Linked DNA regions of Cricetulus griseus. The protein of the gene in region 1 interacts with the protein of each later gene in a biochemical or structural test. Links are inferred from orthologs where the notes say so. Each region holds a gene or a part of one and is shown on either strand. Other genes may lie near its edges.

The links.
Region 2: the proteins of Mxd1 (region 1) and Max form a complex in vitro, tested with the Homo sapiens proteins (4 studies listed by BioGRID, with this or other methods). The link is inferred for Cricetulus griseus from reciprocal best matches to the Homo sapiens genes MXD1 and MAX.

Annotation. Positions count from the first base shown.
Region 1 is NC_048601.1:58,414,381-58,418,648, forward strand, and holds the start of Mxd1 (max dimerization protein 1), read right to left. Parts: upstream 2,804-4,268; 5' UTR 2,610-2,803; coding exon 2,537-2,609; intron 2,235-2,536; coding exon 2,135-2,234; intron 1-2,134. UniProt on the Homo sapiens protein: Component of a transcriptional repressor complex together with MAX. In complex with MAX binds to the core DNA sequence 5'-CAC[GA]TG-3'. Antagonizes MYC transcriptional activity by competing with MYC for MAX binding.
Region 2 is NC_048598.1:126,586,697-126,590,297, reverse strand, and holds the end of Max (protein max), read right to left. Parts: intron 3,538-3,601; coding exon 3,414-3,537; intron 2,937-3,413; exon of another isoform or gene 2,836-2,936; intron 2,189-2,835; coding exon 2,001-2,188; 3' UTR 715-2,000; downstream 1-714. UniProt on the Homo sapiens protein: Transcription regulator. Forms a sequence-specific DNA-binding protein complex with MYC or MAD which recognizes the core sequence 5'-CAC[GA]TG-3'. The MYC:MAX complex is a transcriptional activator, whereas the MAD:MAX complex is a repressor.

The DNA.
Region 1 (4,268 bases):
ATAAAAGCAGTTTTAAAACAAATTGCATTTTTCAGTTCCCAGGAGGTTTGAAATAATGGTTGTTTTTTCATTTTTTTATTGTCCAAATTTCCTCAGACTCCACAAACAAAGAGCATAATATTTCAACCTGAACATGAATGTTATTGGCAAAGAGTTCTGTGAATTAGCAGTATCTCCCTGGCACTCGCATTTCAGATTTATGGTCATATGGCCCTGGGCAGAAGGTTGATTCTGGTGACCAGCTACTCTCTGATGGTGCTCTCACTCCCCAGGTGAGAGATGTGCCAACAGCCATGGAAGAGACCATGCCTACATAAAACTACCTGCTCAGACTTTAATCCTGGACTCTGAGGGAGCCTTTCCACACTGACTGCATGACACCCCGTCACTGTTAGTGAAGCACATAGACAGCTACAACAAGTCTATCTCTAAGGACAGAAAGCAAGCCTCTTAACACAACGGTTTTCAGCTTTTCCAAACCTCGGGAACTGTGGCCACTTTCCAGGAGGCTAATGGCAAGAGAAGGACTCTAGTGTTTGACTTAGCATTTCAAGTTCTCACTATACTTTTAAAATCATCCTTCTGGGACCAAGTCACTACACAATGCCTTTCTACTACCCACTCCTCAATACCCCCAGCAATCTTCCTATAAAGCAGGAAAAATAGTGTTAAGGCATTAAAGTCTAAGACTAGCAAGATGGACAATTCCTCCTAATTTAGGAGTGGTATTAATAAAGGCAAACGTGGAATACACTAGCACAGAAACAACAACAACAAGCAACACAGCAAGCCTTTGAAGTCCTATGTGAAACTGTTACAAAATGCAGCAGAGCCCTTTCTGATGCCACTGTTCGACTCATGTCAGTGTGAGCATTCTCCTCAAAGGCTGCAGTGCTCATGTGCAGCGCTACTGACTACCACCGCCAGGCTATGCTAGATGAGAGGACAAGGAAAACCCACCAGGTAATTACCAGGTCAGGTCCACCCCTCCTGTGCCTTAGTCAGGAGCGTGGCCCAGTCTGTGATTCCAACACTAAGGTCTATGGACAGGGTGAACCAAGGACAAGGTGGGTGAGTTTTAGGTGTGAGTGAGAACTTCCCAGGGTTTAGTGGTCTGTACTAAGCCACAGAGGTTACCCTATATGATACTCTATGTGCTTGTGGGAAGTTATTCATGAAGGGGAGGGATTAGGATTCTAAATTGCTGACGAAAATGTCAATGATTTCAGGCATGGCCTAAATTGAATGGCCCTAGTAACACGAACTCCTACCAACTAGTTGGGTTTTGTCTTTGTTTTTTTGAGACAGAGTCTCACTGTGTAGCCATGTAGTCTCACATGTAGCTGGTCTGGAATTCCCAGTGTAGATAAGGCTGGCTTCCAATTCACAGAGATCCACCTGCCTCTGCCTGCTGAGTGCTGGGATCAAGGATGTGCACCATCATGTCCAGCTCCAACTAGTATTTTAAGGGCAAGGAAGAGGATATAGATACAGTAACAGAGGTGAGAGGTCATTGTGGATCAGGGGCTGTGAGTTCCCAGTCATTAGCTAAACACTGCCGTGAAATCCACAGCTTTTGAGGACTAGAAGGTAATCTGTGAGGCTAACAGGAAAAGGCTGACATCCTAATGTTACTTGCACCTTCTCGAAGAAGCTCAATCACTCTGCTCAGCCATCAGAAACAGAGGTTACAACTGGGTTATCAGACAAACTACTGTATTTAATTTACACGTTAAATATAAATTTCTACCACCTGTGTCAGGCCAGACAGCTCGTTTATAAAATCTACACTATGACCAGCAAAATCAACTGATAACATGGTGCATTTTGAATGAAAGGAAACGTGCAAACTCTGTTACTTGTAAAGAAGGCAAAAGTAGTGACCCTGCTGCTATTCCCATGGAGCATGGAGTTTTGCTTTGTTCAGAGAGTGAAAAGTAGAATTAATTTTTAAAAAGGCCATAATGAAATGTAAAACATTTTCTCTTCAGTTTCCTCAACTTAAAAAGAAAAGGCTTTTAGCACCAAGTGTGCATTATCGGACCCTCAACGTATCTGTAGGACTAGAATCCCAGAGTCAACTAACCAGCAGTCTTAGTGTTAGCTACAGAGAAGGGGTACATGGAACAGTTACCTGCTACTGGTGCTGTTTTTCTTGGGCTTGTTCCTCCGTTTGAAGACATCTCTGCCCTTACTACTGTACGGCAACATGGAGGCATATCCATGTTCAGCTTCTAGAAAACCGAGGGGTCCCGTTAATGAATGGGCTCAGAGCATCTGACACCCTGTCCCCGCGTCCGTCCGTCTGTCGGAGTCCGGGGCACCGGCCGGGTGCAGGCAGGCGGAATTCTGAGAACAATGCCTGCTCTTTCCTGGCGTGGACGCCCTCGGTTCGGAGCAGGTGTGGAAGGTTCCAGCTGCTCGCCGCCCCCCGCGCTCGGCTTTTGGGGCGCGGGCCCGGGGGTTGGCGCTCGCGGCCGGCCCGCGCCCCAACCACCCCAGCGGCCGCCCGCCCGGCCCGCAGCCCGCCGTGCACCTCTCTCCCGCCGCTCCAGGTAGTCGGCCGCCTCCAGCAGCAGCTGGATGTTCATCCTGACGGCTGCCGCCATCCTGCACCCGGCGGGCCGCCTCTCCTTGCCCGCGGGTAGCGGGCCGGGAACACCGAGGAGCCGCCGCGCTGGCCAGCCAGAAGGGGCAGCGCTGGGACGGCACGGAGCCCGGATCCCAGCAGCGGCCGCCGAGTGTTTATCCCGACTCGCCGCCGCCCGCCCCCGGCCCCGTCCCTTGACAGGCCCGCGGCAGCGGTGTCCCTCATTGGGTCGCCCGCGGCACAGCCCGCCCCCGGACCGCCGCTATTGGGGAAGTGACCGCGACCCCGCCCCAGAAGCCCGCTCCTCCCGCTGGTTGGCCGTGCTTGACAAGGCCCGGACTCCGCCCCCTACAGCCCATTGGCCACAGGACTCGCAACTCCGCCTCGTGCTCCTGCCTGCCTCCCATTGGCTGATGCCGACGGCCGGGCCCCCATGGGCTCTGCGGTCATTGGGCAACCCCAGTACAGAGACTGCTGCTGCACCCGCGCCTCATTGGCCAAGGCCTCAGAAACCTCCCGGATACGATGACGTCACCACTCTGCCAAGCGGTGGCCCACTTTGGAGCCGCTGATTGGCTACGAGGCAGGAGGGCACGGGCGGAGCTCCGCCCACTGGCCGCAGACCTGTTGCCCACTGTCTCTGGGGAGAACTTCAGGCCTCGCTGGCGACCTGGGACAGATGGTCACACGTAGCTCCCACCCCAGGGTTAGGGGGAAATGGTCGGCTCCCCCAGACTACGCTTGCACGGAGTGGCCGGGTGCCTGCAGAGTAAGGCTGAACCCGAGGCCCCCGCTTCCATCCCAGAGGAAACCACTCCTGAGCAGGCCTCTCCCAAGACCACAAACCGCGGCCTGTGTTCCACAGGTACCCACTGGAAAGCTCACTCTGTAAACACAGGTCCTTGAGCAATCACGATTTTTGAGAGCTTATTCGAGACCTAAAGTGCAATGTCGACATCTCCAACTTAAACGACAGGAATAAAACAACAGGGTAAGAAGTCTGAAAAATGAAACGAGCAGGGGATTTTTAAATAAAACCTATTAGTGCTGTCAGTATGCAGTTAGCTTTCTTTGTACATACAGGTCAGGTAACCTACCTACACGGTTTCCATCCCTCAGGACAACCCGAGGGGTTTTCATGCTTGCCTACATTTTGCACAAGAAGAAAGAGGCTCAGAGACAAATAACTTTTCCTGTTCTTCCTTAGCTTGCAGAAAGACCTGAACCCCTGCCATCTCACTCACAAGTGGCCCCGCAACCGTCTGATTTGCAGTTGTACAAAAACAAAAAACAAACAAACAAACAAAAAACCCACGGCAGATACAGGATTGCAGACAGTCACAGAACACAATTCAAACTGTGGGTAACACACCACATCGCCTGGTATGTGCAAGGATCCAATCAAGGACTATATGCTGCAGACACACACACTAAACGCAGTTTTCCATGAAGGCACAGAACTTAAAAATGAGAATGTGGTAAAGAACAATTTGGAACATTTTAAAATTGTATGCTGTTTGTTAAAATTTAAAGACGAAGGTAATGTAAGCAACTATTAAATTAACCAATTTAATATTCCTAAAAATAGTCTGTTTTGGCCATTTTAACATCTTGGGTTTTGCACTTTTTTGGTTCCTCCCAAGTTTCACAGAATATCTGACATCTTTTCAGTCTTTCT
Region 2 (3,601 bases), on another chromosome or scaffold:
CTTTGGAGGGTTGATGCTGCTTCCTGTACACACATGACCTACCCACCGACTTCCATTAACCAGACACTGCAGATTGACATCTGAGGGAGGGAAACCCCAGCACTCTCTTCATTCGAATTCAAAGAACTTACCTCGCTTCACTTCGTCCCTTGGTCTATGAAAGCAGTACTTCCTGTCAGCCAGACTGGAAAACCAAATGGAGATGCTTTCTGGCCAGAAATTCTTTTCTTTCTTTCAAAGGTCAAAGAAGTTCAGGCTGGAGCTGGGTCCACAGTAGTTAACTTGATGTTGTGGTATCTTTTTGACTTTCAGCCTTTGGCAGCTCTGCTGTTTCCTCTTTGTCACTGGAATTCTCTAGAAACTGAAAAACCCTGGCCAATACCAGCCACCTCTCACACGGGACACTCCTTACCAGGAGAGTAAGAGCCACAGTTCTGAGCCATCAATTCCTCCAAAGAGCATTGTTTATCGGGAACTGTTGCCACCAACTGATTACCCATTGCAAGCCTGAAAGTTGCTTCCTACCATCCACTTAGCCACTTTCAGGCTGACACACAAGGGAGAAACAGGTATAGTTACAGCCGCTCCTGGCTCTGCAGGCTCCAGTGAGAGATCTCTGCTTTTCTTTCAAGTTTCCAGAGGCCCAGTAGCTTCCAGAAGGCTCCTCCCTCAACTACCTTGGCCATTGCAGGGGCAAGAAGACACCACTACCAAAAAGGATAAAATAAGTCTTTATTTATATTCTTATAGTAAAGGGGGAAGCCTTAACTTGCAAGACAATTCTTGGGCAGTATGTACAACATACTTTTTATTTCCATGGAATGGAATCAAATACCGACTGAGACTACAGAGTATACACTAGAAATCAGCAAAATGCCGGCAACAGAGTAGGAAAAAGACAAAGAAATGAAGCCTAAAGACATGAAACCCTTCACTGGGATCTGCTGACCACAGCCAGAGCCAGGGCTGGATCGCACAGTGGCGACAAGTTCCAGGACCAGAGGGAGGCAAGTAGGGCAGGGAGGCTGTGCTGGGCTGTGGGTTTAGTACCAGGTAAGTCGCTCTTGGTATTTACATACAAAAGTTGGCTCTATTTCTTAGAAATACACACAGAAAGAAATGAAGATTTGATCATTGCTTTATGAATCTGTCGCTTTACAATATCGACATCATCAGAAATAGGGGCATTTCATTCAGATTTGAATTTCAGTAGCAGGAAATAAATATCAAAACATCATCACTGGCCCTTAATACAAAACCTCTACCCCACCTAAGACTCCCTCCCTGTCCCACCCACAAACAGCCACCCCACCACTCCTGGGAGGCCATTTCACTGCTGCCATCTCCTATACATACCAGTGTCACGTGGCCTTCTGTAAGGCTGGCTCTGCAGGCTTAAACAACTGAAGAGTGAAACATGCCAAGGATTCTGCAGTTCTGTCCCCGCTTTCCTTTTATACCACAAACTTCTTCAAGAATCTGGTCTTTCAACAGGATCGATAGCTTTTGCAAAAAACAATCCTTACAGAGGAGGGGGTTAATTCTGATTACTCCAATCTGGTCATCTTGTCAAAGTAGAGCAGTTCAGAGAGTCACAAAGTCCACCAAACAGAGGTGAGGGGACTGGGAGGGGCCCGGTGCAGCAGGCACCCTCCAGGCACACGCTCTGAGGGCTGGAGGAGCTGGGGGTGGGGGGGAACACCACGTACACAGAGGTCTGGCCGGCTGTCTGTCCTCCACAGAAAGAGCTGCCAAGTTAGGGTGTTTTGGTTTAAAATTTCTGGTGGGGACAGGAACCCCTGAAGGGAATACATTTAAAAATAGTGGACACAGGGACCGGATGAGAGCTGTTGTCCAAGAGCTTCTATGCAAAAATAACAATTAATAAAGAGAAAAGGAAAATAAAGAGTCTTTCAATGGTTTCAAGGGTTCTAACGAGGAACTGAAGAGGATGAGACGATGGAGACGACAGTTTTTATTGCTGGCCTGCCCCACATGGCTTAGCTGGCCTCCATCCGGAGTTTCTTCCTGCTCTGGGGCTCTTCAGGCTCGGACTCTGAGCTGGAGTCTGAACCCCCATCGAAGGCAGAGATGGTGCCGCCCTTGGCGTTGGTGTAGAGGCTGTTGTCTGAGGAGGGGTAGTTGGTCTGCAGTTGGGCACTTGACCTTGCCTTCTCCAGTGCACGGACTAAAAGGCAACCAAGGGAGCATGTTACCACCTTCTGGAGATCCGGAGAAAACAAGTTTCAGATTCAGGGTCCAGCCTGTTCTTCCTAAGGGTTTGCTTGCTGGCCCCCAAGGCACAGGGTGGCTCAGAAATCATTCCCTTCTGGTGGCTGTTCCCCCTTTTCCTTCCCAGCTGGGCTTACGGGCCCAGCACACATGGCCAGCCACTCTGCTATACCACCCTGAAGAGAAGGCTTGTGATGAGACACCGTCCTGCCATGGACCCAGCAGAGAGACCAGAGCAAGAGTTCCCTGTTGGATGGAGCAATACAACGACAGAAGAGAAGCTAGCCTAGCAATGCCAGGCTCCATGAACGTGTGAAGGCCCAATGATAGCAGGAAAGGATGACAAAATATATTGGGTCAAAGAAAACTTTTGGCTTGGCTTTTATGAACAAAATCCACTTGGAATGACAAGCTGGACACTTGGAAGCAAGTCACCAATACACACAAAATACCTGGGCTTTTCAACAGACACCCCTACATGCAGGCTGCTTGGCCCATCATCCAACCCGCTGCCACCACCCACTGCCCATCCCTTGGTTCAGCTCAGCTTGAGCCTGGAGGATCAACCCTTCATGTTATTTATTTTATGTGAGATGTTCTAACCCAGGTGGTTACTTGCATTTCCTTTTACTTGCATCTTCCATGAGGGAGGAAGAGAAGTGAATTCCCCAGGAACAAAGAACTTGATCAGCTCTCGCTTTCCCCTGTGGTTGTAGGAAAAGGCGGGTGTGAGCATTGGAGAACAGCAGGGGCCTGGCCCATAGGCTGCCCTGATTGGACTACTATTGACAATGGGGAGGGCTCACTGTCCCTGAACTCCTGGAGACTCTTGTACTTACATGGCACATTCTACTCCAAGGACCTCAAAGCTCTGTTCAGATACCTGACACCAGGTGTGACCCTTACTGCAGGCAGAGCACCTGAGCCCCAAGGAAGGGAGAGATCAGGCCAGAAAAGATACAAGCCTTTGGATGTTCAACTCCCTAGCTCCTCCATCTCCTCACTGGAGGGTCTGGTCCTTCCTCAGGATGGCGCTAACACTCAACTTCGAAGGCCCGTGGAGCAGGGCTGAGGATGCTTCTGAGGCATGGTCCTCTGGCTCTGACCGAAGGCTCAGGTGGGAAAGGCCCAGCCTGGCCGGGCACAGCAGGGCCAGTTGCCCCACGAGCTTGGCTGCTCACCTTGTTGCTCCAGAAGAGCATTCTGCCGCTTGAGGTCATCAATGTCTTGCTGGTGCGTGTGGTTTTTCCTTCGCATATACTGGATATACTCTGTTGCTTTGTCTAGGATTTGGGCCCGGGATGCCTGTTGCAATATGAGAAAAAAAACCATGGGACAGAATAAAGACCAAGTCTGCATAGCAGGAGAA